2 linked regions of the Caenorhabditis elegans genome follow. The protein of the gene in region 1 interacts with the protein of each later gene in a pairwise test. Each region holds a gene or a part of one and is shown on either strand. Other genes may lie near its edges.

The links. The genes of interacting proteins can lie anywhere in the genome.
Region 2: the proteins of rbr-2 (region 1) and W03F9.2 interact in a two-hybrid assay, tested with the Caenorhabditis elegans proteins (one large-scale study listed by BioGRID).

What each region holds. Positions count from the first base shown.
Region 1 is NC_003282.8:10,918,307-10,926,178, reverse strand, and holds the start of rbr-2 (Lysine-specific demethylase rbr-2), read right to left. Parts: upstream 6,110-7,872; 5' UTR 6,073-6,109; coding exon 5,929-6,072; intron 5,886-5,928; coding exon of another isoform or gene 5,879-5,885; coding exon 5,747-5,878; intron 5,488-5,746; coding exon 5,051-5,487; intron 4,823-5,050; coding exon 4,635-4,822; intron 4,586-4,634; coding exon 2,575-4,585; intron 2,412-2,574; coding exon 2,224-2,411; intron 2,178-2,223; coding exon 1,882-2,177; intron 1,451-1,881; coding exon 795-1,450; intron 750-794; coding exon 451-749; intron 72-450; coding exon 1-71. UniProt on the Caenorhabditis elegans protein: Histone demethylase that specifically demethylates 'Lys-4' of histone H3, thereby playing a central role in histone code. Does not demethylate histone H3 'Lys-9', H3 'Lys-27', H3 'Lys-36', H3 'Lys-79' or H4 'Lys-20'.
Region 2 is NC_003283.11:126,500-130,174, forward strand, and holds W03F9.2 (C2H2-type domain-containing protein), read right to left. Parts: upstream 1,536-3,675; 5' UTR 1,453-1,535; coding exon 1,396-1,452; intron 1,354-1,395; exon of another isoform or gene 1,340-1,353; coding exon 1,282-1,339; intron 1,232-1,281; coding exon 969-1,231; intron 923-968; coding exon 590-922; 3' UTR 501-589; downstream 1-500. Other genes in the region: W03F9.1 (Zinc finger protein ZPR1 homolog), read right to left, coding at 1-79, 130-150; sftb-2 (PSP proline-rich domain-containing protein), read left to right, coding at 1,738-2,028, 2,077-2,854.

The DNA.
Region 1 (7,872 bases):
AACACTCGAAGTTGGAGAGTCCGCATGATCCAGACAGGATGAGCAACGGTACTCGTGCATGTCATTAATTTCTGAAAAAAAATTGTTAAATTAGCAAATACGCAAAATTGAACAAATATGGTAGCCGGTCTCGACACGGCAATTTTTTTTACTTGCAAAAAAGTTGTGTGCCTTTAAAGAGTAAATAAAAACGCGGAAGTTTTTAAAATTTTTTAAAGTTTTACGACAATGAAATCCCACAGAAACGAGAGTTGGTAACTACAGTATACTTTTTGAAGGCGCACACCCGTTTGTGTTTCACAAAAATTGTCGTGTCGAGACCGGGTACCGTATTTTTGGCACAAAGTTTTTTTTTGAGATCAGGTCTGTCACAAAACAAAGGTTCGTTTTTTTTTCTCCTTACAATTAAATTTTTTTTCCAAAAAACCACAAAACCCGATCTTAATTTACCTCTCAGAGTGAATCCAAGACAAATCACATGGAACCAGTTTTTGCAGCCTGCTTCACACATCACCCAGTTCACTGAGTCTCCATATGGCTTCAAACAGGCGCGAGCTTGACACGACTTGAATTCAGACTCGTCTTCGTAATATTCACTGGGTGATGCTTGACTTTGACGTTTGCGTGATTTTTTCGACGTCTCTTTGTGTGAAACACTTGGCCTTTTGCGTTTAGCTGTGATTTTTGGATCGAAGAGTGATACCGATGGTTTTGAACGAACCGGGCGATTTTTGAGTTCTAGTGCGGCGCTGAAAAAATTAAAAATAAAATTAATACATATAATGTGTACAAACCTTGACTGTTTTTGAAGATATTCCATATAAAATTCTGAAATCAGCTCGCGTGCCTTCGGAAGACCATTGGGATTCAGAATTTCACACGATAGCCAATCGAATAAGGCAATTTTACAAATATCGTCGCTGGATTCTCCTGATTTCCGTTTATTAGCAGCTTCCATCAAATTTTGAGTGATTCCACGAGTTTTTTGTATTAGATTTCGAACAAGATGTGTTTCCAAACATCCAGAAGGTGTTCCATTCAGAGCAGTTGTTACATCATCAATGACTGGACGTTGTCCCCGTAGACATCGAACACATAAAAAGCATCCTTCTGGAAGTTTTTCAAGGAACGGTGACCACTCGCAACATCGAACATGAAACTCTGAATCGCACATTATGCATGTCAGTGTTGATTCGGAATCATCTGATTTGTTGAATCCAAGACATGAGCATGCTTCAAGACCACGAGCTGAATTTGCTTGTTTCACCTTTTCAAAAATTCTCATTTGCATTTCACGTAGCGATGATTGATGATGCACAATTTGATCTAATGACTCGAATTCTTTCATTTGATGCCATTCATCAGATGGATGTACTGCGCCTCCTTGAAAATATAATGGTATCGTTTGTCCTTCAGCAAGTGGAGTTAAATCATCGCGTTCGGAGAGAATCTGGAAAATTCAAGTTTAAGGCAAATTAGATCGAAGCTAATGTCTATGCTACTTCCTGATTGGATTAATGTTACCCAAATATACGGTCACCGGTCTCGACACGAAATTTTTTCGTTTAATTTAAAAAGGTGCGCGCCTTTAAAGATACTGTAATTTCAAATTTTTGGTTCTGCGAAATTTTCCTTGATTTTTCTTTTTTTTTCTTAGTATTTGTCTCATGTTTTTAATTATTTCAACATAGTTTTTTATTAAATAAATAAATTTATAACGAAAACTATGAAAAATCTATGAAAATTCCGCAGTAACGAAATTATGAAGCTACAGTAATCTTTAAAGGCGCACATTCGTTTGTATTTAACTAAAATTGTCGTGTCGAGACCGGGTACCGTATTTTTTGCGAAAAATCGTCAAATTTCACGAATCTCACTCACTTCAAAAAGATTGTGATACGCATTATTTGGCTTGAACAGAATAGCTATCCTCTGAGTAAATGCATTCATTGTGCTGATCATATCCAAAATCCCGAGATGCTCTTCGGAACCGTTTAGACATTTTGAAGTTTCGAATGCTTTACTGATTTCGGCCGCCTTCGATAGTGTAATTTCAACATTGACAATTTTCTGCAGTTGTGTTTTTAAATCAAATTCTGATAGCACGGGAATTGCGGCATCTATCATTGACTTGATTTTGGCAACATGAATGATCTCATAGCGAACCATGTTAATATCTTAAAAATTATTTTGTAAGAATTACTAATGCATTAAATAACAAACATTTTTCATAGAACCAATCAGTTTCTCTAAGGCTTTGCCAAATTGATTGAAGCTGATCAAGTGCTGGATTCTCACAGAAATTGTTTGCAATGACCTCGAGTGTATTGGCGTCACGGAGCATTTGTTGAAGTTCAAAGACGAGTTTAGAAGTACCATCTGTGGGATTTCGTGGACTATCACGAATCAATCTGAAACATATAATTGAATTTTTGAATTAAAGGGGTATAGAGTATTTGGAAATATTTTTAAGGTCTCATCATGAAATTCGGTCGTTTTGGGCCGAGCCCATTCGAGGAAAAATCCACAAACACAAATTTCCTTTTAAGAGAAAAAATATTTTTAAAATCTTACGATAAAATATCACTGGATGCATATCGAAGCTTATACTCAAAATCAATATCTTTCTCCATATCGGGAGTTGCCTTCCATGTAGTAACTTTTCTTGCTCTATCCGACCAATCCTTCATTTGAATAACTTTTCGCAACTCATCGATTTCTTCCAATTTAATATCATATTCATCTCCCTCTTCAATAATCTTCTCGATTTCTTCTTTTGAGTATTCTTGTTCTCGATAGATAGCATCTTTTGCTCTGTTTCTCCACATTTCAACTTGTTCCATCCATTTCTCAAGTTTATCAATAATAACAGTCAAATTGCAATCCATGGCTTGCATTTGTTCAATCAATGACCGTACTCCCTCGGTGTCTGTACGAGTGTCGGCTCTCTGACATCGGGTTTTTGTTCGCGTTCGTACTTTCTTAAAGAGCAATTGATTTGCTTTTTCAATGGCACTCTTGGCTGTATGACGAATTGTTATCAATTTATGAACTTGATCTGTCTGTGGATACTTGTTTTGTTTGGCAGAATCTATAAACTCTTCAATTCTCTCGAGTTTTGGTTTTCCTTCTTCTTCAAGCATCTCATCCGACTCTTCTTTCCATCCATTGTAGTTAACCGTACGCTTTCCAAGTTCATCACACATATTGTTCAATTGATCCAACTCGAATCTGTACTGATATCTGTAGTCTTTCGTTGTACACGAATTGCAAAGATGATCATGATGTTCAACACAAGTCATTTTCTTGTGTTTGTTACAAACCAATGCACACATGAAGAGAGTCGTCTTACAAAAACGACACGATCTTTGTTCATCTGGAATCTTTTCGAACATCACTTGCTGCATTTGGCGATTGGAAACTCCGAGGCGAGCGAGAAGTTCTCTCAACATTTTTTGTTTTTCATATATTCTTATCAGTTCTTCATGTGTTGCTAAACTCATCGAAATTCCAAGTTTATCCATTGCTTCAACCATTTTAAAGAGAAGCTCATCATGAGAAAATACAAGATATCTTCGTACATTTGAGTAAGACTCAACGCATTCTCGACCTTTTGATAGCCAATCAATTGGAGCGAAATTGACAGCTTCCGCAAAGTTGAGTCCCTCATTGAAACCAGCATGATAAGCACGTGGGAATGTAATGACGAATTCACCAGCATTCTGGTGAACTGAATGAATTGGAACTCCCAATGAACGAAGAAGATGAGGATTTGCAGCTGTAGTCATATGATGGAATAGATCTCTTTGTCTTCCAGTTAATCCAGGTGCTATTTTCTTCAATGCATCTTCAAACTTTTCAGCATCTTCTCCACCAACACCGTACCAAATTTTCCGTTCTCCAAAATGATTATAGTTAACAGAATACGTCCAATGATCTTCGGTGTGCCAGCAGAACGTCGAGAAGCACATACCAACATAGACCCACGGTACCATCATTCCAGAAATTCCAGTATTAAAATGTGAGAGAACAGATTCTCGAAGTACAGGCATATTGTTCAGATTCCATGCATGTGAAGCGTATTGCTGCTTCAGCTTCAGATCTGGGCCAGTGTGCTTATCTTCTTTTCGAGGAAATCCACTTCCTACTCGACTCGTAATCAAGTCGGCACCGTATTTGACAGAAACTGGATTTTCGTGTGAAATTACATTCTTCCAGAATGATCGTTCCACAGCATCACACGACACTTGTGATACATCTTTTACACCGAAATAATCACATTTCCATTTGTTGGCAAATTCAGTGAATGAGTTCAGATTGTATTCTGTGTCCGCATCATAAAATCCCCAGTCTAATCCGATTTTTGCATCCTCTGATTCAATGCACTTTGGACATCTCCACTCGCCTTCTGGTACTTCATCGAGTACTGGATCACAACAATATGTATGACGACCATTATTGCATCCATCAATATCGCAAAGAAGTAGTAGATCTTCATCCTTTCCTTCATTACAAGCAACGCAGAATACTTGATCCATTGGATCTTCATCATCATCATCGTCTCCTTCGGCTTTCTTCTTATTTTCTGTAATTTGTGAAAATAAATTTAAAAAATTTAAATTTAAAAAACGAACTTCTTCCTCTGGTTGAATTCTTCTTTGAAGATGTTCCAAGAGTCTTTCTTGAAGATGAAGCCTTCTTATTTTTAGATCTCCGTCGACCACTTTGCATCGACACTGGACACTCATCTTCCCCTCCTTCAGTAGTTTTATCATTTGGAACTTCTATTTCTGTCCGCATAGTTCCGTGGTGATGTTGATATCTATGAAATTCATTCGTTTTTAATTAGAATAATGGGGGAAATTATTAATAACAAAATTAAAAATTTTACTATTTATCGGTTTTAACATTTTTTCATGGTTCTAAAAAACAAAAACATGGGTACATAAGAAAAATTTAAAATGCATATAATTTCAAAAAAATCCATCTACATTATGTTTTCTTAACTGATTTGTAGATTTTTATTTATTTAAATTTCTTAATTACTCACTTATGCTTTAATTCTTCCATTTCATCATCACTTTCATCATCATTTTTCATCGCTTTTTCTTTCAAATTTCGATTAAATGGTTCAATGTGCAAATTATAATGTGATCGAATCAAATTTATGAAAGCCGACGGAACACCGCGAGCCATTTGCTCCTTTGGAAGGTATTCGCGGGCAACGTCTCTCCATTTTTCATCTTCATTCACTTCTTCACATCCTCCAAAGTTTTGAACTATACGATGTAATCGATACAAATCGACAATATTTCCATCTCGATCCACTGGAAACTCAAAAGTTAGACCAGAATATCGATTGAAATTGATTAATCGGTCAATAAATGTGTGTTTCTCTTTGACAATTGCCTCCACTTCATTCAGTTTTTGAGTTCGGGGACGAAATGTAAAGGCTTCTTTGTCGATAGCAAACGGTGGTTTGAAATTCTGCAAAAAAAGAGAGTTGATGCTTCTCGATTCGTTTTTTGAGGGAAAAATCAAAAATTTTCAGATAAAATTGCACTTTTCAAGTGGTGACCATTCTTTTAGTAAACTGAAAATTTTCTAATATTTAGTATTTAATTGAAGGGAGTAGTAGAAGTTTTTAAACTACTACAAACATTGTTTCGCTTTTTTTCAGACTTTTCAAAAACGATTAAAAACTTGTTAAACGTCAGACGTACAATTTTCCGAATAAATAACTTACCGCCGGCGGAACAATTTTAACAACTCCAAATTTTTCGGCCTCGTGTCGTATTTTGGCAACATACTCGATTGGATCTGAGAACTCTTCTTCTGTCGGGTAGTAAATTGGAGCCATTGGAGGTCGTACGAATTTCTGAAAACTATGAAAGCTTATTCACCTTATGTATGTCTTAGTAATCAAACCTTATAGAATTGATCGTACATTTCCATTTTGCTTCCATGATTCTTAGATCTTGAATTTCCGATGGATGCTTTCTTCCGCGGAGAAGTGCTCGTCGACGGTGCTGACGGCGTCGAGATACTGTTCTCTTGACGACGTGCACGCATTTTTCAGTTTGGCTTATAGCTTCATGAGATCTGTAAATTTCATTTTTGTTTGACTTTAATATTAATTGAAATTAAAAGCTTTGAGAAGAAGAACATTTTAAGTACCGACGAGAAATTTCCATGTGATGAAACAAGATGCATCACGAGTGTTATGATAGACGTCATAGAAACCCGGAAATGAAAATTAGCTTATACTCCTTTAAAATTGGCTTTTAAGCTTTTTCTTATTAAGCTTTTGATTTGAACTTAATATTGTATAAATAATTAAGCTGAAAAATGACTCATATTTAAATATATATATTTCTCCAATTTTTGAGGTCGAGCAGCTTTTCAAAGTTTAGACAAGGATCTTTGGTAGAGTTTTAAATGTAGGTCAAGACACGTAAGGCATCGTATAGTAACTCAAATCATTGAAAACTCCATCTCTCTGAATCTTTTTGATGTGTCACCTAAAATGCATTGAGAGACTGGTATTCTTTGACCACTTTGCAGTAGGTCGGTGTCCTTTTCGTCAGAAATTGCGTGCGGTAAAGATAAGCGGAGAAACAGAAAAAAATATAGATAAAATCGAAAAACCGAGAGGAAATAGCCCCCAGCGCCCACCAGGGTCGGCCCACGAAAATCGAGGAAAGTGCGCTCCGCCGAACATTACTCTCGAGTGTCCACTCTCGTCGTCTTGTCACTCCTCTGTTTGCATGCTATTCGCTAGCAATAATCTCTCGGTCTCCTGCCCAATCACACTTTATTCATGTTATGTGCGCGACGCGTTCTCGCATGTGCCTCCTAGTAATACGTGAATTTTTGCACTAACTTTTTTTTGAGGCCAGCAGCTGAGGAAAGATGGGCGCACACAAAGAAAACGAAGAGAAAGCAGGAAGACGCATGTAAAATGAACACAGACTGAGAGAAAAAGAGAACATGGAATTATGGCTCCGAGAGCCAGCATTTTTAATTGAAGATTTGAGACTGTGTTTGTTTACTACGGTTTTAAAGGGAGGCGTATCAATGCGGAATGGTCTCGCCACGCACTGCGAACTCATGAAAAAATTGGCGTGTGCGCCTTTAAGATGACTGTAGAGATTTTTCTGGCATGTCTAATTACATAAAATACAGAAAATTGGGAAAAGAACAATCGAAAATGAAGAAAAGGGAGAAACGAGAAAATTGGAGATTTGCCAGCAAACCCTCTACAGTAATCTTAAAGGCGCACATACCAGATTTCTGAAAAAAAAATCGCAGAGCGTGGCGAGACCATTCCGCATAAACTCGCCACTTTAAAATCATAGAAGTTGTAAAAAGTACACAGTAATATGTAGAAACTGATTTCGCCGAATTGTGAATCTCCATAGTTTCTAAGGAATGTGAATATTATTTTTCAAAACTAAATCAAACTCATTAAAAAGTTATTATGCGCCCGTTTTGAAATAAACGATGGTTGCGCGCGAGAGAATGAGAAGACATAGATTATAACTGCAAAAGCAGAATCAGCTGTCTGCGTGTGAAGAAGCTGATTAAAAACGAAAGGGCGAAAAAGACTTGTTTCACACGACTACACACATTCTTACGACAAATAGACGAAACGGAGGGAGAATCAGAAGTTTATGACCGAACGCTGAAGACGTGTAATCACAGACGTGGTTAGAAAGTGAGGCTGAACGCGGAACTTAAAGCGAAAATGTGTAACATATTGAACAGTGCACGATTTTCAGATGTTCAGAGCATTCGTTTGACAGTTAACAATTTTTCTAAGATAAATCGTTAATAAAATATATAACTTTTTCACACAAAGATTACTGTATT
Region 2 (3,675 bases), on another chromosome or scaffold:
CTTCTTCGCACACCGGGCAGACACTATCAACAACAATTGGAGCAGCCTCATAGTCATCTGCTGACAAGTTTCTGTAGATCTGAAAAATATTTAGGAAATTGTGCCGTAAATTCTAGCAAAAACACTTACATCTTGAGAATCCGCAGCCATTTTACTTTAAAAAATGAATTTGTTGATTAAAATCGAAAATTATCTGCTTTAAAGTATTAATTTTAGAGAGAAATCTGGAAAAAACTGGAAAAATCTGGAAAAGAAAAACAAAAAAAATTCAAGTCTGCAAAGTTGCGTGACGGTGTTTGCGGACAAACGCCTGCGCCTCTTCATTTCGCGTTGTGCCTCGCGGTTTTTAATTATAAAATTTTTTAATAATTAGAATTCAGTACACATTCTTGTAAAGCCTTCCTATCTTGTGTCACTGAAGCTTTTTCGCAAAAAAAGCGCTTCCAAAGTAGCAGAAGAAACTGAGAAAAATGAATAAAACATTAAATGTCTGCGCTAAAATCTGTATTTTATTTTTATTTCAAAAAACGAATAAAAATCTTGTGATGAAGTTTTATTGACGGAAAATCGAATGAATATTTCATTTTTATCAAATTCCAACAGTATCTTGTTGCTCGTAGTCGTAGTTTCGGGATTCCAGAGACAGAAGTGCTGGATTGCCGGGCTTTTGAGCATTTGTAACCGATTTTTCTTGTGGCGGCGCTTCTTTTTCAGTTTCTGTGTGTTTTGAGATCATTTCATGGCGAAGACAGCATGGAAGATGCACTTTCACAGCTTTAAACTTGATTTTTTGAAGTTTTTCAATCATTTTCAGCCCATTTTCAAGTCGTTCTTTCGAAATTCCGAGTTGCTCGGTGGTTTTTGCATTTTCCAGACATTCGATCAACTGATTTTCCTTTGCAAAATCCGTCTGTTTGATGAGCTAAAAATTAATTAAATAAAATATAAAACGCAATACTAAATTTCACCTGAAAACTGCCAGGTTTGCCACCATGAAAATGTTCCAGGTGGTGCTTTCCTTCATCTTCGGTGTGAAAATTCAAGTTCCGGCATCCAGAGCATCGAAACGGGCGGTATATTATATGAGTCTGGAGCATGTGGAACTCGTATGCCGCCCATGTTGACCAGGCCACGGAGCAGGTTTCGCAGACAGGCCTTGGAGCATTTTCGGGAATCGATTCCCCGTAGGAGTCTGGATTGAATTCGGGAACTGATGAAGTTGGGAGTTTTCCTGAAGGTTAAAAAAAATTAATTTCACAAATAATATTTATAAATAATCACGTTTTAATGCAGAAGCTGGCTGAACAACTCGGATGGTGCACTGGCGTTGAGGGGAGCTCTGAAAAAAGAAATCTATAAAAAATGGCAGTATTTCTCAGCTTATTTGCAACTCACGAGAGTGACTAGATAATCGTCATGGTCTTGGGCTCCTGATGTAGATGGCTCTGTCATTTCAACCTGAATTTTCTGTTTTTAATCTTTTTAAAGCATTATAAAGCTTTAAAAAAATTTAAAAAAAAAAGAGAAAATTCAATGATAAAACAGTGTGCAAAAATGAGAGACGGAGAGTATTTGGCGTCGGTTTCAGTGTTTGGTACGCAAACACCGACCCATTGCGTACTCTTCGAATTAAATTTTTTTTGCGAATTTTTAGATTTTTCAACGTTTTTGCGGTTAAAAACCTCTTTTCCTCATTGAAAACTTTTCAATTTTCAACTAAATGTTTTCCTTTTTCAGATGTCAGGCGAGGATGACTACAATTCAGACGATGAGGCTAACAAGAACCTATCTAAAAAGGAGCTTCAGGAGTTGAAGAGAAAACAGCAGAAAAGCAAAAAGAAGAAGGAATCGAAGAAGAGAGCAAAAGCCACGAAGCAAGCTGAAATAGAAACACGAGAGGAGCCGAAAAAAGAGGAGGAAAATGGTGACGATCTTGACGTGGAAATCGATTATATCGGTGAAACAATTGAAATTGAGCCGGATAACCCGCACGCTCAATACTTTTCCGCAATTTTTGATGCTTTTAAGGTAACATATCACTATTTGTTAATGTTTTTCCAATATATCGGCTTCCAGATCTCCACCGACTCAGAAGACGGCTTCTCCTACGGCCATCACGTTTCCAAAGGCGAGAAAAAGGATGATTTGGGAAAAGTCGGTCAGGCCGAGCGAATTATTCAAGAGGAGATGGAAGAACGTGCCAAAGAAAACACAGAGGAGAAGCTTTCGCGTAGAAAACTCCGAATTTCTCTTCAACCGAGTATTGCAAAGCTTAAAGAGACGACACTTCGAGCCGATGTTGTTGAATGGGCCGATGTGACTTCTCGTGATCCGTATCTCCTTGTCGCAATGAAATCTTATAGAAATTCAGTTCCAGTTCCACGCCATTGGAATGCAAAGCGTAAATATCTCGCCGGAAAGCGAGGATTCGAACGGCCACCATTTGAGTTGCCAGATTTTATTAAAAGAACCGGAATTCAGGATATGAGAGAAGCGCTGCTGGAAAAAGAAGAAAGCCAGAGCCTTAAATCAAAAATGAGAGAGCGGGCCCGCCCGAAGCTTGGAAAAATCGATATTGATTATCAAAAACTTCACGACGCGTTCTTCAAATGGCAAACCAAGCCGGCTATGACAAAAATGGGCGAGCTCTACTATGAAGGAAAAGAGATGGAGGCGATGATGAGAGACAAGAAGCCGGGTGAAATGTCGGATGAGCTTAGAATTGCACTGGGAATGCCCATCGGATCGAATGCGTTCAAGTTTCCACCGCCATGGTTGATTGCGATGCAACGTTACGGACCACCGCCCAGTTTTCCGCATATTAAGATTCCTGGATTGAATGCGCCGATTCCTGGTACGGTAAAATGTTCTGGATGTACTATTTTAGAGCAGAAATCTAAAAAACATTATGAAAAATTTTACATTTCAACATAAAATTACCAAAAACCTAGAAAATTGCCTGCTAAATTTCATTTTCAACGTAAAATTAACAAATCTGTGAATTTTTGCACCTGTACCGACCACAAGAACTGAGATCGTGGCGAGACCCGCTTTAAGCGCCAAATTTTTGCAAAATGATAAATAATTTTCTTTTGATAAAAAATTTTCTTCGCATAATTTAACACACAAATATTCATAAATTCTGCCAAAAAAAATTATTATGAAATTTTCAGATATTTTTTTCGCAAAAACATGTTATCCTGAAAGAAATTAAGACAAACTTGACAATTTTATGTTCAGTAAATACATTTTACGAAAAAAAAATGTCTGAAAATTCAGAAAAAATTTGGTTTTGGTTGAAAAAATTATGAAATCAAATTTAGAAAAATAAAAAATAACTTCTTTCACGATTTTCAAGCAAAAAATACGATACTGGGTCTCGACACGACAAATTAATGTTTAATGCGAGGTGCTATATTTTGATCAATTTTTCCAAATTTATCAATTAAAAACTCAAAAAAAAAACAAGTTTTGGTAAATTTTGGGAGATGCCACATTGAAAAGTTGGTTAAATTTTCAATTTTAACGGATTGTAGGTCATTTTTTGAGCCACCATAACTTTTTTTGAGGTTTTAAAAAAGTGTGCTTATGAAATTCGGTAGTTTAAACGATTTCGAGTCTAATAAAGCAATAAAAAATTTCGACTACAACTTTAAAGCCGTAAAAATGGAAAAA